Linked DNA regions of Macaca fascicularis. The protein of the gene in region 1 interacts with the protein of each later gene in a biochemical or structural test. Links are inferred from orthologs where the notes say so. Each region holds a gene or a part of one and is shown on either strand. Other genes may lie near its edges.

Evidence for each region.
Region 2: the proteins of PRKN (region 1) and UBE2V1 form a complex in vitro, tested with the Homo sapiens proteins (4 studies listed by BioGRID). The link is inferred for Macaca fascicularis from reciprocal best matches to the Homo sapiens genes PRKN and UBE2V1.

What each region holds. Positions count from the first base shown.
Region 1 is NC_088378.1:8,401,169-8,411,361, forward strand, and holds the start of PRKN (E3 ubiquitin-protein ligase parkin), read left to right. Parts: upstream 1-3,352; 5' UTR 3,353-3,471; coding exon 3,472-3,478; intron 3,479-10,193. Other genes in the region: PACRG (parkin coregulated gene protein), read right to left, coding at 2,746-2,901. UniProt on the Homo sapiens protein: Functions within a multiprotein E3 ubiquitin ligase complex, catalyzing the covalent attachment of ubiquitin moieties onto substrate proteins. Substrates include SYT11 and VDAC1.
Region 2 is NC_088384.1:106,201,127-106,211,583, reverse strand, and holds the start of UBE2V1 (ubiquitin-conjugating enzyme E2 variant 1), read left to right. Parts: upstream 1-4,993; 5' UTR 4,994-5,030; coding exon 5,031-5,052; intron 5,053-6,577; exon of another isoform or gene 6,578-6,851; intron 6,852-10,277; exon of another isoform or gene 10,278-10,445; intron 10,446-10,457. UniProt on the Homo sapiens protein: Has no ubiquitin ligase activity on its own. The UBE2V1-UBE2N heterodimer catalyzes the synthesis of non-canonical poly-ubiquitin chains that are linked through Lys-63.

The DNA of each region.
Region 1 (10,193 bases):
ATATTAAAAAAATATGTATTTATTCCATTCCCCTAAACTTTGAGCATAAAGCATCTATAGTCTATTGAGAAGGAAAGCTGTAATAGAAAGCTTAGGCTAAACTCAACTTCCCTGTCACCATAAACCTGGGTCAATTTTCTAATTTGCTTCATGATAAGCATGTTCAGCACAGAAAGCATCTGACAAGATGAAGACAACAAAATGCTTGGTTAATAGTTTCTGGTCATAGGCTCTATCGCAACCCAAATAAAGCCTTTAAAAGGAAAATGAACTTTGAAATCTTCAAATTGTGTATCTCTTACATCTCTTTATAGGCAAGCACTATAAAAATGTGAATTTGAATATTATTTGATGGCAGGGCTTTTGTGATGCTTGTTTTCTTATAGAATGCAACAAAAATTTCATGGAAACAAAGTCTACTTTCTATTGAAGAACAATACTTGACATTGAGATTTTAAAAATTTTGCCATTTACATTTATCATTATTTTTCAATAATTTTGCGCTCTCATATCCAGACTGACTGTTTAAATAAGCATTTCTGCCTGCACAGCCCATTTGATGAAACATATTTATGATCAAGTTTATGTACTTGTATCACTATTGCACTCAAAGAAATATCAGGAGTCTCTGTGTAACTCCTTAGGATATATAAAATTCTTCATGTTTTAAGTGGAAGAGCATTGGAATGGTGACTTATCTAACTGGAAAAGTGGTTTGGAGGGTATTGGCCTTTGAGCATGAGGTCGCAATTAAGAAAAGCTGGAAATTGTCATACATATCCTGAATCGAAATACACCTTCAGAAAGAGATGAGGATATTTTGATCTTATAATGCTGAAAAGTCTATACTGCTAAAGATAAAAATGGTGAAATGTAAATATTGGTTATGAAATGGAAAATTTTTATTTCTTGTACCACTGAAGTTATTTTGTATAAACAGTATTGTCTAGCTTTCTTTTATCAAGATTTGAATGTTGTTATTTTGGTTTACCTTGGAGTACTAAGGGCAGGGACTTTGCTTTGCTGATCCCAAATCCCCAGAACTGTGCTTAACAAGTATTGGGTATTAAAAAAAGAGAGAGAGAGAGTTGTTGACTGAATAAGTAGATGAATGGATAAATAATCTTTGCATTTAAGAATTATGATTTCCAATGGCAAGAGAAGTATTGCTAGCACAAGATTTTCCTTTAGAATATAAAAAGATAAGATAATGTATCACAAATAAGTTCTTTATAAAGAAGCCTGCTTCATAATCAATGTGGTTCTTTTAAAGTCATGTAGGCATATTTACTACATCTGGCAATATAGAAACATTAGATTTTGCAGAACTATCTCTTTAGGCGTAGGATTATATTAAAGAATTAACATGATACAAGAATTATGAACACAAGTTTAGGAAATAACAGAAAAGAACCCTGACCAGTAAAAAAAAAAAATTGTGATATTCAATTATAACATTAAAAAACACCAAAATTGTAAATATTGTGTAGAAGAAAACTAAATTATTAACTTGAATGGTTATGGTATTGCTGATAAATGCATCATCTTGACTCCTAGGAGAACCAATTTATGTGAAATTCCATGAAAAAGAATTAGTTACAACAAGCAGAATTTTAGTCTATTTCCAAGAATTTTAACTACTGTAAATCACCTGACACACTTCTCAATAATTAGGATATCATTTTGCATAACCACATGGGAACCTGGCCTAGAGGTCTATAGGTAATCTGTTTCATTCATGTATTTTAAGTATGTCATTTAGGAATAAGTTATTAGGTTTACAACATATAAGCAAAGGAAATAATGTGACACTGGAAAACAACATTACTCATTTAACATAATGAATTGCCACATGTAATAACTCAGATCTTCCCAGGGTGTAAATTATATGAATTTGAAAGCTGCATTTATTATTTAATGCCTCATTCCCAGACAGGTGCTTACTCAGTAGCAAAATCTGCCTTAGCATACCAAGTGTAAAGCTATGTAACAAATAGGAAGGTTTAAAAAATAGATACTATCATGCAGACAGCTAAAATATTTGTATGTATTTTTAATCTTTTTTTCCTCTAATGATACTTAGAATATTTTATTTTTGTTACTACAAATAATGCAGATGAAATATGAATTGTATTAGTAGCAGAGACACATGAGCTAAAGCTTGTATTGTTTAAAGCACATCATCTTAAAAGGCCTGTCAGGAAACAGTGTTCATATTAAGTGGGCTTTCAGTACTCTAACAAGATGACATCATTTTCTAAGAGACAAGTGTTGTTAGAGTAACTGCTAGGATATTCCAAAATTTCTCATTATAGATTATTTAATGAGTTTATGTTCCCAGTTGTATATCAGCTCATGTTAAATTTTGCAAGAGTTTATGATTTCTAAGAGCTCATCTTCTGTAAGGCCCTTTGCTGAGTGGGGTTAGTTAGCAATCAGTAATTAAAGGGGATCTTTTTACCTCGTGTAAATAGCGTAAGAGTAATTTTGGGCGGTTTAGAAACGATGAGTTATCAGGAAGGTGCTTATCAATGGGCAGAGTATATCATTTGCCCAGGATTCTAACAACCTAGCCTGCCCCCCACACACTGTGGGGGACCGTCTGCTACTTGCCAAGTAATTGCCATTTTTGGCAAAGACCACCCAGGACATGGGCTCAGAGTCCATCCTAGGGCTGGCCAACCTCTGTAAATCTCGTGTCCCCTGATACGGAGCGAGTGCATTCAATTCAGGAAGATCACTTACGACTGAGTTTTTCATCATGGCTTTGACTGTGAAGCCCTCAGAAACCAGGGAGTGAGGCTGGTGCACCGGGAGCGGCTGTTGTGCCAGCAGCTTGGTCCTCTTCGGCATCTTGTCTGGGCATTTGTTTAAGCTCAGGGTCTCTTTTTCTGCCACCATCTTCCTAGAAAATGTCTTGTTCTCATAAAAAGTGTAGTAAAAGAATCAGTGGGTTTTACGGATGTGAGCAGGAGGTCGGGAAAAAAATGTCAAAAGGCGCGTTAATGGTAGAAATTCAACCCCTCGTAGTGCCCAGGTTGATCCAGATGTTTGGCAGCTCCTAGGTGAAGGGAGTTTAGGGGAGGGGTGGGGCGGGAAGAGGGCAGGACCGTAGCTAGAGCTGCAACAAGCTTCCAAAGGTAAGCCTCCCGGTTGCTAAGCGACTGGTCAACACTGCGGGCGCATAGCTCCGCCCCTCGGTGACGTACGATTGCTGGGCCTGAAGCCGGAAAGGGAGGCGGCGGTGAGCTGGAGGGCAGGAGGCGTGAGGAGAAACTACGCATTAAAACTACGACTCCCAGCAGGCCCTGGGCCGCGTACCCTCCGCGCGTGCGCATTCCTAGGGCCCGGCGCCGGGGCGGGGAGCCCTGGAAGATTTAACCCAGGAGAGCCGCTGGTGGGAGGCGCTGGCTGGCGCCGGTGCGCGCGTAGGCCCTTTCCTGGCCCGCAGCCGCCACCTGCCCAGTGACCATGATAGGTACGTGGGTACCTGCCAGGTACAGCCTCATCTGCGCCGCCCTGCGCCCCGGTGTGGCCTCGGCCGACCTGGACCCCAGGTGCCAACTGTCAGTGACGGGGCCAAAGTGCCCATGCCGTACCCGGCCCGCACCGCCGGGCTCTCCAGCTCAGCGACGCGGGCCCGGGGCCCCAGTGTGTGCGTTCCAAGCCCTCGCCCGCCCGCCCCTGCTCTGAGCGTTCCCGTGAAGACCGCCTCACCGGGGACGCCAGGCGGCCCCGCACCCCCGGTCCTCGCTCATGGTCCCCCGGACCGTGTAGGGTCCCGAAGCCTTCGCCCCGCCGCCGCCCCTCGCCCTCGAGGCCCTGGCCAGTTGTCGTGCGGTTCAGGACCCATCGAGACCCACTCTTTGTGGGGCTCTTTCAGGAAACCCCAGCAAAGCATTAAACTCTAATGGAAGGCACCTGGTGAGGGTGGCTGGGCGCCACAGAAACTCCTCCAGATGAATCTAAACTTCTTGCTCCCTCGGATGTTTCCTTTTAAACTTCTCGTTGGAGGGCTGAGGTGAAAGAAAAATTGAGAGTAAATAATAGCCAAGATTACATCTACTGCCTTTTGCAATATAACTTTTTTTTTTTTTTTTTTTTTTGGTAAAACACAATGACCGAGGTGCAATTTTGTGAACAAAACTTAGTGGCATCAGAGTTGTTCATGAACACTTGATGTGTAAGATGAGCAAAGGTGCAAAGGTCCTCTTCCAGGGTTGTTGAACCAAAAACTACTTTAGGGGCTGTCCCTAAAAATGAATGGAAATGCACCATATGTTTAGAAGCCAGTGCTATATGGGGTTTCATTATTGTGGAAGTTTCTCCAGGTTATGTATGGAGGGTTTAGTGAGCTTGTTTAGGGCTAATTCCTGAGGAGCGTCCCTTACAAAACACTTTTGATTGCAGTAAGTACGTTCGAAGTCAGATGTGGTCTGTCCAGAAGTAAGGTGAGAGGTGGATTCATAAAATATATGATCTTTATGCACTGAAAACACGTACTACATCTGTTTTTATTTATGAAGTTATTGTTAAAATGTAAACATTCTGCCCATCAGTGGGAGAATCAAGCCAGCTAACTGGCATTGTCTTTGTCTCTGTGGTAAAACAAGAATGTTGTTCAGCCTTCCCTTTCTAGCATGGTCTGACTTTTGGTGAATGACTTGAAAGTTAACCAAATTATGAAAAAGTTATAATTTTTTGAGTTTTCTTGAGCTCTTTTTAGGTGACATTTACGTAAGATTCACTTGTAAGCACAAGTCTGAACTGAATCAGAAAACCAAGTAGAAGAGATTTTCCAAAATCCGTGCTATCAGTAGTCTACAGGAAGAAAATAGCCTATACCTTATTTTGAAGACAGTTAAATACATTTTATTTTAATTTAACTTAATCTAGTGCACAGATAATTTTAAGAGAAACAAATTTATTGTAAAGCTATATGAAGACAGGCACTTAAGATCTGGGATTGGAGGCGTAAGCCACCACGCCCAGCCTCATTAGCCACATTTCAGTAAACATCTGAATGGCCAGTTTGAGATTTGGGTGTGGTGAACAGTGCTAAAGGTAGGTGAAAGTGAAAACCATTAAAAGGAAGCCTTGGAGTGATGGATTTTGTGTTTTTGTGACAAAAATTCAGAGCGAGGAAAGACATTATAGATTTTATCCAGTGATCAGTTGGAGATCAAAATGTAAATAGTATGTATCTGGGATTTTCTGTTAAAGGTAAGAGTGCTTCTCAAAGCTTGCTCCTTTCAGGCCTATGCTTTCTCTGTTACACTCACCTTGTTGCGGGATTCAGGAGGACGAGAGAGACCTCGGGTTGAAACAGGAGAATCTTGATCGAGTGCACTCAGGCCCAGCTGACTCACATGCAATAGACTGGGCCCAGAATAAAGACAGTACTTGACTTTTATACACACTTCACAAAAGGAGGTGGGCTAGCTTGAAGCAAACTTACGGTGGTGGCAAAGCAGGGATACAGAGGCAGGACAAAGGCAGGACTGCACATGGCCATCGCCAAGCAACCCAGATGTTCGTTATCTAGGTTTCCCTGGGCACAGGCTTATCCTATAACCTTCACTATGGTGCCCAGGCAGCTGTAGTTCAGGCCTACTCAGGCTTCTCATGACCTTCGTTGTGCTTCTTAGATAAAACAGAATACTTGAAATCACTAGTTACAGAGAACAAGAGTCTATAAACTGATTCCATAAAACAAAGGAAAATTTGTTTTTCTTCTCCCTGTGTTGAGGGAGTGCTGGGAGAGTCTCCAGAGCACATTCGATAATATTAGCAAGACTCTTCCTGGATCTGGGCTGTGCTGTTGCTGCCTCTGGGACAAGTTAGCCTAAAACAGGAAAACTTATTTCTTTTTCTTTTTAATTTTATTTTTCTTTAATTTCCCGCCCCAACCTTAATGCAAATAATATTCTGCCAGTTGGAGAAACGTAAAGATGGGTTTCCTGGTAGAAGAGGAGTAAACAAGACTGACTGCGACCTAACTGCTAGTGGAATGTGCCTTCCTTTTACTTTCTCAAAACCAAAGATTCCCTTCTTGGGATGAGGACTGTTTCATAAGTCCTTACATTTCCCACCTGGATTGCGATTGATATGTTGAATGCCCTGACCTGGGCAGCTATGGAAACGTAATTTAATTGAAGTCGGTTAAAAATTGTGCCTTTGTGGAAGGTGTGGAGAAGGACTTCAAGATAATATAAAGCAGAATAGAAAAGCTTAAAAGAATTCAACGTAGAAAAGTGTAATTTTTGGTATCTCTATTAAAAATATATTTTGACTTTGTAAAAAATGATCAGTTTTTTGTATTTAAAATGGAATGTTAGTGGTGATAATTTGTGGTATGTTCTAAATGTTCTGTAGAACTGGATTTAGGTATTTGAGTAACAGCAGATATTAGAGTGCTTGGTTATATATACACCAATGTTGTCAGTATTGAAATACACATTCAGTGTCTTATACTTTTAAGAAGATTTTTGATTGACAAAAACCATTCATTGGAACATAGTCTCTTCTATACCTTGTTTCACTTAGCATCTCTTTGAGAATTTACATATCTGCATGTACAGATTCACTCCACAGCAGTTCCTGCCTAGTGTTTTATAGGATACACTAATGAAAATATTTACCAACAAATAAGCACTCATCAGGTTTACAGACGACTGTTATCAGAAATGTTTGTGGACATATCTTTTTACTTGCACATGTAAGCATATATGTAAAAGAGAAATCGTATGACAATTTGAGTTAAAGAGTTTGCAGATTTAAAATATTCCTAGGTATTTCAAAATTTTTCTAAAATAAGTTGCCCTATTTTACAAAGCTATCTAAAGCCTCCACGAATACAACATGGTAGTAAAGAGCTGCCCTGCCCCTCTGGCCTGAAAATTACCAAAAGACGTCCTTCCCGAGACTGACTCAGCTTTCACTAGCAGAACACCTCCTAGATCTCCAGTCCCCACCTCTCTCTCACCCTAGGTGTAGTGCCTTTCAGTGTACAAGCTGCACAACTGTCCTTGGTGGCCCTGCCCTCCCTTTCAGTGTGTATAAGGGTGCCCATTTCCTCCCATGTGCCATCAAAGATTTTTTATTTTTGCCCTCTTGACAGATGAAAAACAGCATCTTTTAACTTTGCAAATTAATTTAGAAGAAAACTTCCCATTTTCATCTTATAATGCGTTAGTTTCACAAAAGCAGATGCGGTGATTTCAGCACCTGCTGTGTACCCTTAACTGCTCTAGGTGCCAGGGAAACGAGGGAACAGAGCAGAAAAAGTCCCTTGCCATCAGGAATGTGCATTCTGACTTCACCATTTGCCCATATATCTGCATGTTTGTTTTCAAGCGTGTGTGCAGTGAATTTTAAAGTCTCAATTTATATTTCTAGTTGAATATTCTGTGTACTACTCTTTGCCCTGCCATTTTAATAAGTTGATGAAAAGCAGCTCTATGCCTAAGTACCCCAAAGCTTCTGTTTATGATGAGGTAAAATTGTGTCAAAAATAGGCTCTAATAAAGTTTTGCATAGAAGATTTTATGTAATTATATAATAGTTTTTCCTTGAGTCGGTCCAAAAGCTCTAAAATGACCCTTTGTCCTTTACAGTTTTGGCCCTATTTCTGAGGATATTTTTGAAGTCTGCATTTTTTGAAACCTCATAGTTTCATTGCCTGAAAATGATACAATGAAAGTACTTTGTATTAAGATATGTAAATCCATTCCTACCTCCAAAGCTTTTTTGAAAGATGCAGGAAAAAAAAAAGAGTTCTTACTTCGAAATGCTTCATATTCCTGAGAGCAGTTTTAATGCAAAAAACTTTATTCTGTTAGCTTTTAGTTCTTTGATCAATGAAAATTGCTTCTTACCTACTGTTTCTTCAGCCTTTAATTGTAGCCCAGTGCTTATTCAATGTTTCTGTTTTCATTTGCATTTAATGAGCTCATTTTAAATGTTTCTTTGTAGTAATCTGAATGGTTTCTCTCCCTAAATTTTGTAACATTAAAGAAAGAGACTCATGTGACAGTTGGCTGATTTATGTTACAGCTTCCCTCCCTGGCTGATTTACTTCATCCTGTAGGATAGAATCTTGGTTCAAAGGAAATACAGTAGCAGGATTCTTTCCCCCAGTAATTTCCTAATTACCTAGGACTCTAACAGATTCACTCAAATGTCTGTTTTTCACCAAATAGAAACCTTTTTTCCTTGGATGAATAGGTATTTAAATTTATGATTATTCAGTGTCATTTCTTTATACCATATGTATTAGGTGGTGCTGGGTAGGGGTGGGTACACACAGGTTGTATATATCTATATATTGCCTATGGGGAAGGCACATACAAATGACCATTTCTTCCCAATGAGTTTATGGCCTAGTTGGGCTGATTAGGCTTACATTAGTGGTATAGATTCCACCTTCACCACTGCAGCAGAAGAGTAATTAGAAAGATGTATGTATGTATCAGCACACACATATGTGCCTGCAACATGTGATTTTTTATGTTTCTTTTGCTCATGTGATTCTCTTCGAATGCCCTTTCTTTCTGTTGTATGTCTGAAAACTACTGTTCATTATTTAAGATCCAATTCCAATGGCACCAACTTCATATGAAATTTTATGTGTCACCTTCTCACCCTCTTTTCAGTGTGGGGCAATTAACACCTCCTTTACAGTCAGCCAAGATATTAGCAACTACCCTTCATCAGGTTCTTGTTCATAGTCTAGAAGGGGTACAGAAAAGTAAAGATTTACAAACCTGAAAGGTGGGTATCATGATACAGGTTTATACAAGGGAGAACTGGAAAGCTCAGCCTATTGAGCGTAGAAGATCCAATTATTTCCCAGTGGAGCCATTCCAGTTGTCCTGCAGGACAAGTAGGAGTTAACTAGGTGAAGGAGGCCTTCTAGACAGGCATGGAGGGGAGAGAAGAGAATGGAATGAAAGGTATCTGGTGAGGCTGGCAGGCACACCAGATAAGCTTTGTCAAGGAGGTGGGTTTAAAGTTGGTGATAGGGAGGAGTCACTGAACCATTATCTATGGAAGAGCATTATGAACAGGGTGTCTTTTAGAAAGATGTCCATGGCAGTAATAGAAAATTATGAAATAGAATGCTGTAGAAAATAGTTACACTAGTGTCAATAAGTCTAGATAAAGTGTTAATAGCTTTTATTAATAGAGGGTAGTCTTTCACTGAGAATGATGGGGTAATCGTGTGGTAGGAGATAGCTTTTCTCAGGGTGGTGACATTGATTTGATACGTCATTATATCATCTCGGATTAAGGGCCATACTTCTTTTTAAAAAGTTCTTATTTTTGTAGAATAAATTAATGTCTCTCATTGACAGGTGTTTTATGTCATGTTATTAAAGCTTTAAGTGTATTTGTATTCCAAAAATAGTGTGTATCTCCTTCTTTGATATGTGAAACATGATGCTTAGAGTTCTATTTATAGTTTCTTCTCTGTGTGGAGAGAACAATGTCATCAGAACTGTGGATACTGTGTCACCCGGAATAGTGCAGAGTAGAGTTTCTTCTTCATAGATATCTGCATAACTCATATACCTAGGCACATATTAAGACCATCTATGGACAGATGTGTGTATTTTTAAGAGTATTGATGGATTCTTGATGATTTTCTCCAATTTACTTTTACTCTGAACAGAGGCCCCCGTAAAGTTTCATGTGAGAGCCCTTTGGAGGAGAGAATGTTCAATAGTTAGCAGCCTCACCCATTTTGCTCAACTCCACCCCTACCCTCATCAAATGAGGAGAAAAATTAGTAATTAGGAAACTATTATTGCTGTCCTGATTGAGACATTTTTATTATTTATTTATGTAATTGTTGAATACACCAGTTACTCCTATTGTGAGATATTTTTGGAGTTTCAGTGCATAAATAAGATCTTATGATGAAGCCCTTGGTAACTGCATAGTCAGTTTTAAAGCTTATTGTACCTGCAGAGTAGATCCATTTTCCAGATCATGAAATGATAGGAAGTAGATGCCTGAAACTTGCTCATGTTAGTACAATGGAGAAATAGGAAGGAACATTTGTAGTATCTGTGTTTCGGAGGTCAACCTTTAGTTTTTGGGCTTTCTTTTTTCTTTTACATCTACCTGCACTTCCTCTTTTCTGTCCCCTCATTTTTTTTCTTTCCCACATTCCTTGATTTTCTGGGAAG
Region 2 (10,457 bases), on another chromosome or scaffold:
CTCCCCGCCTCAAACCCCTGGTTTTCATTCCTTTTTCCCTGACCACAAAAGTAACATATAATACAAAATTCAGACATTACAAAACTTGTATCAGAAGAAGCCAATGGAAACAACTGAGATGTCCATTGATAGAGTGAGTTAATGAAGTGCACCAAGGCCCCCTGCCCACCCACTCCCACCTCTTTTTGACTGTATATTTCAAAACTACATCAGACATTAAATAAGATGTCTCAGCGCTATGGCTAGACACACCTCAGGGAACCATGACTCCATATATATGCCATAGAATTTCACTGGCAAATGCATCACACATCCTGTTGGGGTTTTTTTTGTTTGTTTGTTTTAGATGGAGTTTCGCTCTGTTGCCCAGCCCGGAGTGCAGTGCTGCGGCAACCTCTGCCTCCCAGGTTCAAGCGATTCTCCTGCCTCAGCCTCCCCGGTAGCTGGGATTACAGGCATGAGCCACCACGCTCGGCTAATTTTTGTATTTTCAGTAGAGACGGGGTTTCACCATGTTGGTCAGGCTGGTCTTGAATTCCTGACCTCAGGTGGTCCACCCGCCTCAGCCTCCCTAAGTGCTAGGATTACAGGTGTAAGCCACCATGCCTGGCCTCATCACACCCTGTTAACCACACATCCCTTCCCAGGGATTATCCTCTCTGTCTTCTGCAAGTCCACAGCCCTTCCTGTCAACAGTTTGTCAGCTTTACTTTCTGTAGCTTATGTTACAAAAACTATAGCAAGAGGTTGGGGGTTTTCCTTAACTATAAATAGGAAATATGAAGTTGTGGATAACATTATATAATTTTTGATTTTCCACCTTTCGAATATACTTTTTCAAACTACTCATGCCTTTCACATCCCTGAGATTCCAAACCAGCCCTAGTGTTTTCTCACTTGAGAACAGAGTTCATGAATGAACACTGCAGAACAGTCAGGTCTATATGCCTCTCAGCTGAACCATTGCATCAGCTTCCTGTATCGATGAGGTATGCTTTTTGGTGGTAGGTAACAAAAACCTACCTTTAAGAACAACTTAAGCAACAGGCACATTATCTCACGTCTTCAGAAGTCTGCAGGTGGGCAGCCCCGCGATTCCTTTAGCAGCTCAGCGATATCACCCAGGATTCTGGTTCTAATCATTACAACCTCATATGGTAGGAAGGAGGAAAGGGGACAAAAATAGGCTTTTTCTTCAGCTTTTTTGTTCGTTTGAGACGGAGTCTCACTCTATCACTCAGACTGGAGTGCAATGGCGTGATCTTGGATCACTGCAACCTCTGCCTCCCAGGTTCAAGCGATTCTCGTGCCTTAGCCTCCCAGGTAGCTGGGATTAAAAGCATGAGCCACCACTCTCAGCTAATTTTTGTATTTGCAGTAGAGACAGGGTTTTGCCATGTTGGCCAGGCTGGTCTCGAACTCCTGACCTCAGGTGATCCGCCCGCCTCGGCCTCCCAAAGTGTTCGGATTACAGGCGTGAGCCAGGGCGCCCAACCTTCTCTTCAGCTTTTATGAGGGGAGGCAAAGTTTCCAAACACCCACCCCGCCATGTGGGGACATGGCAACTGGACTGGCAGTAAACAGTGCCCAACACACCTCTCTGGGTTCCCTGCCACCAATATTGCTGCTGCCCAGTTGGGTGTCCTCACCCTGTCTCCTCATGGCAGCACGATGCACTTTGCAAAAAGGCAAACCTGCCCACATTTTGCTCAAAACCTCCCAGGCTCCACCTCCCTCATCACAGGAGAGTCAGCAGGTGACACAGGATAAAGAAAACTGGATTCCAGAACTGATTTTACTCCTTCCTTGTGTGACCTTGGAAAAGCCATCTAACTCCTCTAAGCCTCAGTTTTCTCATCTCACAAATGGAAATGGTAACAGCTACTTTGCAAGGGTCATTGAGGATTAAGTAATAATAGCAGCTAATACTTATATTGCACTTAGTGCCAAGCGCTTTTCTAAATTCTCTAGTTTTATTAACCATTTTAATCTTCCCCAAAATCCGATAAAACAAGACTCTTATCCCCATCAGCTGAGTTTATCAGCTCAAGCGCACAGCGGCGACCAGGCGCAGGCGCCGGGAGGAATCCCGCTCTGGGGACCGGTTGTGACGTCCAGGAATGGGGTAGAGCCTCTTCGAGGGGGCGTGTGCGCGGGACGTACTATAACTCCCACCAGGCACCGCGCCAACGCCAGCCTACAATAACCAGCATGCCCCGGGCTGTCCCGCTTAACCTCTTCCTGCGATGAGCTCTGCACGATAATTATTATTGTCAATTTTACTTGCAAGAAGTTTCCTACAAAAGCCAAGGAATCCATGCGAGTAGACATTTACGGGCATCATGGATAAAAGGCTTGTGTTTTAATCCTCATCCTCCACCTGTTAGCTCTGAGTCTCAGTTTTCTCATCTCTAAAACGGGGATAGTCACAGGAGTTGCGCATCGAGTTGTGAGGATTAAAAGCTGGATGTAACGGCTTGGTAAATATCAGCGCTTCTAGTGTCCCTTCCTCCTCCCTGTGCCAAGGGGTTTTAGGAAAGCATTTTATCTCCACAGCAATCCTATGAGGTTGATACTGCTATCCTCATAGAAGGGGAAACTGATACCAGGAGAGGTTCAAGCGTCTTACCTGAAGTCACAAAGCACACTGAGTGATGAAGGAAGACTTGAACCTAGAAAATTTAACTGCAAAAGTGAGTCCACCTTAGGAACCCAAATGCTTCCACCTGCTACTCATGCTTTACAGTGACCCTAAGTCCAGGGCAAGTATTTTCTGTGCTCCCCAAAGCAAACTTGTATCACGTGATACACGAAAAGTCAAGTTGCTTCACCTGTAGCCAGTGCTGGCACTTTGAGAGCTAATTACAGCTGAATTTGACGTGGTTGAAGGAATCGAGGAAGACTTCCCTGAGGGGGTGGTGCTGGACTGAGAACTGAAGAGTGGAGACAGCACAAGCAAAGCCCCTGAAGTGGGAGAGGCCTTGCGTTCCAGGGGGCTTGCAAAGGGCCAGTGTCGCTGCAGAGGTACAGAAAGTCTCAGAGGCGCAGGCTGTGCCAAGGCTATGATGAGGCAAGTGGGGGACCTAGGGTGCAGAATTTTTTTTTTTTTTTTGAGACAGAGTCTCGCTCTGTTGCCCAGGATGGAATGCAATGGCGCGATCTCGGCTCACTGCAACCTCTGCCTCCCGGGTTCAAGCGATTCTCCTGCCTCAGCCTCCCGAGTAGCTGGGATTACAGGCGCCTGCCACCACGCCCAGCTAATTTGTATTTTTAGTAGAGACAAGGTTTCATCATGTTGACCAGGCTGGTCTGGATCTCCTGACCTCAGGTGATCCGCCCACCTCTGCCTCCAAAAGTGCTGGGATTACAGGCATGAGCCACTACGCCCTGCCCTAGGGTGCAGATTTTAAGGAGTCACTCACCTGCAGGGCTGTACAAGTGCAGAGTCAGGACCTGAGTGAAAGCCCCGTTAAATCTGATGGCCCCATCCTCGTCCAAGCCCTGGATGCAAAGCCTTGTGCACAGGGTGTCCAGGCATCCTGGTTTGCCCTGGAGAGCCCTGGTTTCCACTTGCCCTGGTGAGATTATAATAGGTCCTCTTTTAATCTGATGAGTGTCCTCATTAGGTGATAATCTATGGTCACTCAACTTGTAGAGTTTGCATTTTATCCAGAGGGAATAGGGAGCCACTGAAGGCTTTAGCTGGAGGGTGTTTTGAGCAGATGTTGGTCCATATGGAGAATGGACCATGGGGGAGAGAATGGAAGCTGCCGGGGTCTTCCAAGTAGGAGATAAAGACAGCTTGTCCTGAGTGGAGAAGTGAATGGAGCAGGAGAGATGCAGAGTAGGCATTGTTGTCAGACAAAGGTGATGAATTGGATGTGCTGGGTGAGGGCTTCCAGCTTCCTTGTCCCTCTTTGTTTAGAGTCCTAGTCCTTCTGCCAGTATTTTGCTCTGTGACCTTAAGCCAGTCCCTTCACCTGTCTCAGCTTCAGGGTCTACATCCATATAAGGGCTTCTCAGACAATTTATAATATAGGAGGATTAACTTCTTGGGTTTATTTGCAAAAATATTTCCCGAGGGCCTTTGCACAAGCTGTTCCCTCTACCTCCTCATTGTTAGGGTCTCTGTTGAAATACGACCACGTTAGGAAGCCTTTCCTGACCATCCTCCGCTGCCCTTTTCTTGGTTTATCTCTAGCCTATCAGAATTGTAGTTTCCTGTTTATTTACTTGCTATCTATGACTAGAATGGAAGCCCCTGAAAGCAGGGATTTGCTTCTTCAGAGATGTCTATCCATCCCCAGCTCCTAGCACAGTGTCTGGTACATAGTAGGTGCTTAATGTTTGTTTGGTTGAATGAATGAACGAACGAATGAGTGAATGAATGAATTGGGCAGATGGTTAGCAAATGTTTTCCCTGCCACCTTATTGCCCCCAAATCATTTAGCTGCACCCACTTCAAGCCTTCTCTGGCCAGGGAGCATCAATCCTAGAAGCCAGATCATCTGACCTGGAGGGTGACGATTCAAATTCAAATTTGAACCTGGAGGTTAAAATTCTGTCTGTCTCTGCCACTTAACAGCTGAGTTTAGATAAATCGTTTAATCTCTCTCGGCTGCATTTTTCACATTAATTCCGACCTTGTGGAGATGTGGTGAGGATCTAGATAGGAACTAGACAGGAAAAAGCCCCAAGTGAATTCGGCGCTTTTGTTTGAAGCTATCTTTTCTTTTTCTTTCACAATCGCGCCTTCCCAAGCCTCGTCACCCCTGCCCTTCTCACTAAGCACGTCACAACCTCCCTCGCACCCGATGTGGGGGGACTTGCAGGTTGCTGAGCCCTCGAGCACGCAGATATTTCCTTTCTCTAAAAGGGAAGGAAAAGAGCCTCCCCGGCCTCGGGTCGCGCAGGTCTCCGGAGCGGGCGTCAGTGGCGGCGTCTGTGCGTGCGCGCGCGCCTGCGCATCAGGGCCAGGGGACGGGTGGGGGGTGAAGAAGGGGCCGGCCTTCAAGCAACAGCGACGCAAGATGGCAGCCACCACGGGCTCGGGTGAGCGGGGGCGCCGGGCCCGGCCGGCCGAAGGGGCATGGGCTTGGGCCGGGGGCTGGGGACTCTCAAAGGCTCCTGCAGGGGGGCCAGGGTCCCCGCGCCGCCTCTGTCCGGTGGGCTCCGCTGCAGCCACGGGCAGGCGGTGGCCGGAAGCACGGGCGGGGGGCTGAGGGGCCTGTGGGCGGCGCGGCGAGCCTTAAGGCTCCCCCGGGAGGCGTGAGGGCCCCGCTGCGCTACCTGGGGGAGCCGGAGTGGGCGAGGAGCGAGCTCCAAGGCACTTCTGAGGAGACCGGGGCTGGCGACTCTTTAAGGGGCGACCAAGGGGTTCCTTAGAGGAGGAGGCGCCCCACAGCGGATGGAAGTCCCGTACTGGGTGCCAGGGGTGCGGCTGAGGGGGGGGCCTTGGGATGTCTGGAGGGGACATCAGAGGAGCCCCTCAAGCTGGATGGGAGGAAGAAACGGGATCCTGAGGGGGTGACTCGAGAGGATCCCCTATTGGTTGAGGGGACGGCTCCGGCGTTAGTTTTAGAGATAGGGTTAGCCGAGGAAATAGCTGTGTTGACTAGAAAGGAGGAGCCTTGGAGCGGCTGCTTTTGGGGAGAATTAAGGAATCTCCGCATGATAAGTGAGAGCGGGGGGGAAAGGATTCAGATGCCACAGGGACTTGATTGCAGTGATAGTGAAATGACCCCATCATTACCAGTCTCCTATTCGAGGATACAGATGGATTGCTCCAATTTCGCTTTCAGGGGACAGGTCCGTTGGGGCAATTGGTGGAAGCCTCTGATATTGAATGAGGAAGAACAGGTGAATTGGGAATCCCGAGGATGTCTCTTTGGGAGTGGGGATTCAACTGAGGGAAGCCCCTGAAATGAGTTAGTGGAGAAGGTCGGGTTCCAGAGATGTTTCTTGTAAACGAGATAAGTCTCCTCTTTTTGAATTGAGTGAGGGAAGCATATCCTAGAAGTGTCTCTTCTGTGGAGACGCTCACTCTCATCCACTCCTTTGATAATTGGGACAGATATGTGGGTTCAGCTCAGAAGTTCCCCACTGGCTGATGGGAGTAGGGAGGTGAATAGATGAAATGGACACTCTTGGGTGAGGCTGCACCCTCGGGTGCCTGGCAGTGAAGTTGGCCAAGGAGGTGCTCTCAGATGGGGTGAAGATGGGTTACCTCTGATGGAGGAAGGAAACAGAACCACAGTGTTCCCCACTGTGGGGCTGCAGGGACACGAACCTGAGTACGGCAGTCATTGGGGTATTTAAGGCCACAGCAGGGGCAGTGTTGGGAAGGAATTGGTGATCCATGAGAAATAGGGTGAGGGAAATTCTTTACAGTGTTGCTCCTCTGCGGTCTCAAGGAGCCATACTTGTCTGATGGTTGGGGTGAGAATAAAAGAAATTGAATATGGGGGATCTGACTGAAGTGACCCACCAGAAGCTGCTGCCTTTTGCATTTAAAACAGTGGGGTCTTCTTGCAGCATAGCGGAGACCATGAATCCTTTTACTCGATTTTGGTTTCAGCTGGAACAGTGCTGAGTCAATTCATTTACCAAGACGCTGCCCCAGGCACTCCCAGAAGAGAGATTCTGAGTCAGGCCAGACTGCTGGGGGAAACTTCTCACCAGAATAACACTCGTACCAGGTCGTAATGAAGCAAGGGGCCCAGTGTGCTGGCGGTAGCCAGCAATAAGGTGCTGTTGCAGCTCAGCCCTGCTTGCAGTCACTCGGTTGGCTACCTACAATCTGAGTTAACAGGTGCCCGATTCTAACTTCTGGAGACCCTGACAGTTAAAAAGTGAGTGCTTCGTAAATGGCTATGGCGATCAGATAAAATGTCAGCTGCTCTCGAGTGGAATACAAGAGCATTTGGCATGGTTTAAATAACATAGAACAGGCTTTGAGGTGCCCTAAAATGGACTTCCCAAAATTCTTTTTGTCTGTTTATTCAAAAGATATTTACTGAGGGCCTATTATGTCCCATTGTGGATAGCAAACAAAACAGACATAGTCTGTGTCCTTTGGGAGCTTCCATTCGAGTCAAGGAGAGAAGGCTGTTAAGGGGTAAATAAATAAGACAATTTCAGATAGCAGTAAGTGCTATGGAGGAAATTGTGTGATATGATAAAGAGTGTCTGGAGAGGTGGTCAGGGAAGGCTTCTCTGAGAAAGTGACATTTCAACTGAGGGGAATAATGGAAAGCGCCAACCCTACAGTGTCACAGGTAGGAGAGAGGGTGGACTGTGAGTGCAAAGGCCTTGTGGTGGGACTGAGCTTGGCATGTTGAAAGAACAGGATAAAAGGCCTTAGTGTGCAAGCAAGGCTTGTTAAAGAGATGAGTTGGAGAGACATGGCTTTGGATTTGACTTGGTGTGAGGGGAAGCCATCAAACAAGTATCTGGTATGAAGTAGGCAGTCAGTAAATATTTGTTGAATGAATAAATAAGAGTCTTAAAAAGAGGAGTATGGCAAGATCTGACCTAAGTCCCTAGGCAGTGAAAAGAGTGCAGGGTGCTAAGAGTCCCTAGGCAGTGAAAAGAGTGCAGGGTGCTAAGCAGACCTTACTTGGGTTAAACTAAAATGAGTGTACAGGCCTCCCTGCTTTCTAACCCTGAGAAGTCTTCCAGGTGTGGTCAGGGCCCTGAGGCCTTCCTTAGTCAGGTTTAGAGTGAGGCTCTTTATTAATCTGTGCTTCTGGTTGCCAGGAAACAGCTGTGAAGCCTTTGAGTTCCTGTAAGGGCTGAACTTAGTTTTTTATGGTCACTGCTTTCAGCATTTGGCTACACCGCCTTCCCACTTCCTTTGGTTCTGCAATGTGTGGTATCTACATATGTTTTAGAGGGTGGAACTGTGAAAAGCCCACCACAGATCCTCAGAATCCCCATGTTATGACAGTGACTTCCTCCTGCCTTGGCCAGGATTGCAGCACATCAAATAGTGGCCCTTGGTTGCCAGGCCCTTCCTCTCACTTAGCAGCCCACGGGCTTCCCTGACATTTAATCAGAAAGTAAGTGCCAGAGTGGTAAGCCCTGGTGGGGCATGATTTTAAATTTGCATACATCGGAGTGGCCTCATATGCACATTCAACTTATAAAAACTTAACCATAAGGCTGGGTGCTGTGGCTCACGCCTGTAAATCCCAGTACTTTGGGAGGCCGAGGCGGGTGGATCACAAGGTCAGGAGATCGAGACCATCCTGGCTAACACGGTGAAACCCCGTCTCTACTAAAAATACAAAAAATTAGCCGGGCGTGGTGGCAGGTGCCTATGGTCCCAGCTACTCAGGAGGCTGAGGCAGGAGAATGGCGTGAACCTGGAAGGCAGAGCTTGCAGTGAGCCGAGATCGCGCCACTGCACTCCAGCCTGGGCGACAGAGCGAGACTCCGTCTCAAAAACAAACAAACAAAAAACAAAACAAAAAAAAACCTTAACCATGTGGGCAGCAGAGATTAGTCTTCCCTGCCATTCGAGGGTCTTCCTCAGAGAGAGCTGGAAATGGATGAAAACTCACAGTCCCTTAGTTTTTCTCAGTTCCCTTGTGTCTCACTGTGTGAGAATCTTATGCCAATTGTAATTAAGTGCCTTTTTTACAACATGGGCCCTACATTTAAAGAACAGCCTCATATTGTGCTCAGCCAAAGAAATAGTAGCCTGCCCCAGTGATAGAGGGGAAACTGACTTTGTTGGGCTAGTGCAAGCTTTTGTGTTTCTGTGTGTGTGTGTGTGTGTGTGTGTGTGTGTGTGTGTGTGTGTGGCGGAGTTTCGCCCTGTCACCTGGCTGGAGTGCAGTGGTACAATCTCGGCTCACTGCAACCTCCGCTTCCCAGGTTAAAGCAATTCTCCTGCCTCAGCCTCCTGAGTAGCTGGGATCACAGGCACACGCCACCACACCTGGCTAATTTTTGTATTTTTAGTAGAGTTGGGGTTTCTCCATGTTGGTCAGGCTGGTCTCGAACTCCTGACCTCATGATCTGCCCTCCTCAGCCTCCCAAAGTGCTGGGATTACAGGCATAAGCCACCGCGCCGGGCCGCCAGCTATTGTTTTCTTAAGGGATTACCAAGGTTAATTTTGATGATCATGATTTTCCCCCTTCACATTAACTTAAAACCACTCTATTTCCCCCACCACATTCTCTTTTCTCTTCATATCTCTGTCCCTCCCACCTCCCCCCAAATTGTAGCTCTGTAGAAATTTGATAAAAGTAGAATACAAAATATGAAGTCAGGAATCCTCTGCTTAATTTTTTTTTTTTTTTTTTTTTGAGACGGAGTCTTGCTCTGTTGCCCAGGCTGGAGTGCAGTGGCCGGATCTCAGCTCACTGCAAGCTCCGCCTCCCGGGTTTACGCCATTCTCCTGCCTCAGCCTCCCGAGTAACTGGGACTACAGGTGCCCGCCGCCTCACCCGGCTAGTTTTTTGTATTTTTTAGTAGAGACGGGGTTTCACCGTTTTAGCCAGGATGGTCTCGATCTCCTGACCTTGTGATCCGCCCATCTCGGCCTCCCAAAGTGCTGGGATTACAGGCTTGAGCCACTGCGCCCGGCCTCCTCTGCTTAATTTTGAAGGGGCACAATGAAGTTCAGAGTAGCACATTTGGCAAAGTAAATATTTGAATATTATTACTGTTATATTGTTGATAGTGCTTTAGAGTGTCCCATGGACTTTGACTCACCTGTGATGTTGTCTCATCTAACTCTCCACAGCCTGGTCACCAGCCAGGGGCAGTATCCATCCACATTACTGAGGGAGGAGCCAAAGCCAAGGGAGACTGGTGATGCTCAGACTAGAGCCCAGGCATTTTTATCTCCCGTTACCTCCCCAGCCTACTCCAGTACCTTAGGAAGGAAAAGGAAAAGGCATGGATTTAGGGATATGTTCTTCCTAGGTCTTGGAATGTTTAATCTTGGAGAGAGAAAGGGCTTTAGTAAGAAATGTCTGCTGCTACCCATTTCAGGAACGCTTTTTGTAGCATCTCTGGCCACTGTTTGTCCTCTTCTGGGTTATGTGCTGTCCAAGGAGAGTGAGGTCCTTTTTTAAGGAAGCTCTTGCTTATATTTTATACTGAATAACTCACAACTCTTGGGCTTGGAGCCCCATCATGGCATGTACAAAGTAGTTCCTCATCCTTATTTACATGCAAGCCATCAAACTTCTTTTTAAGTTGCACTCCTAGGGTTAACTAACTGCTAGACACTGTATTAACTGCATTATCTCACTTGTCACAGCAGACCATTGTGAAGGGCTGTATCGATTTTGAAGGTGAGGAAACAGGCCAGGAGAGGAGTGACTAGCCTGAGGTGCAGAGCCTGGGTGCTCTGGGACAGTGTTGCTTCAGGACACGTGCTCTTGGCCAGGATGATCGTTCTTTCAGCCCCCATTTCCTATTCTCTGAGGTAGGCCTGCAA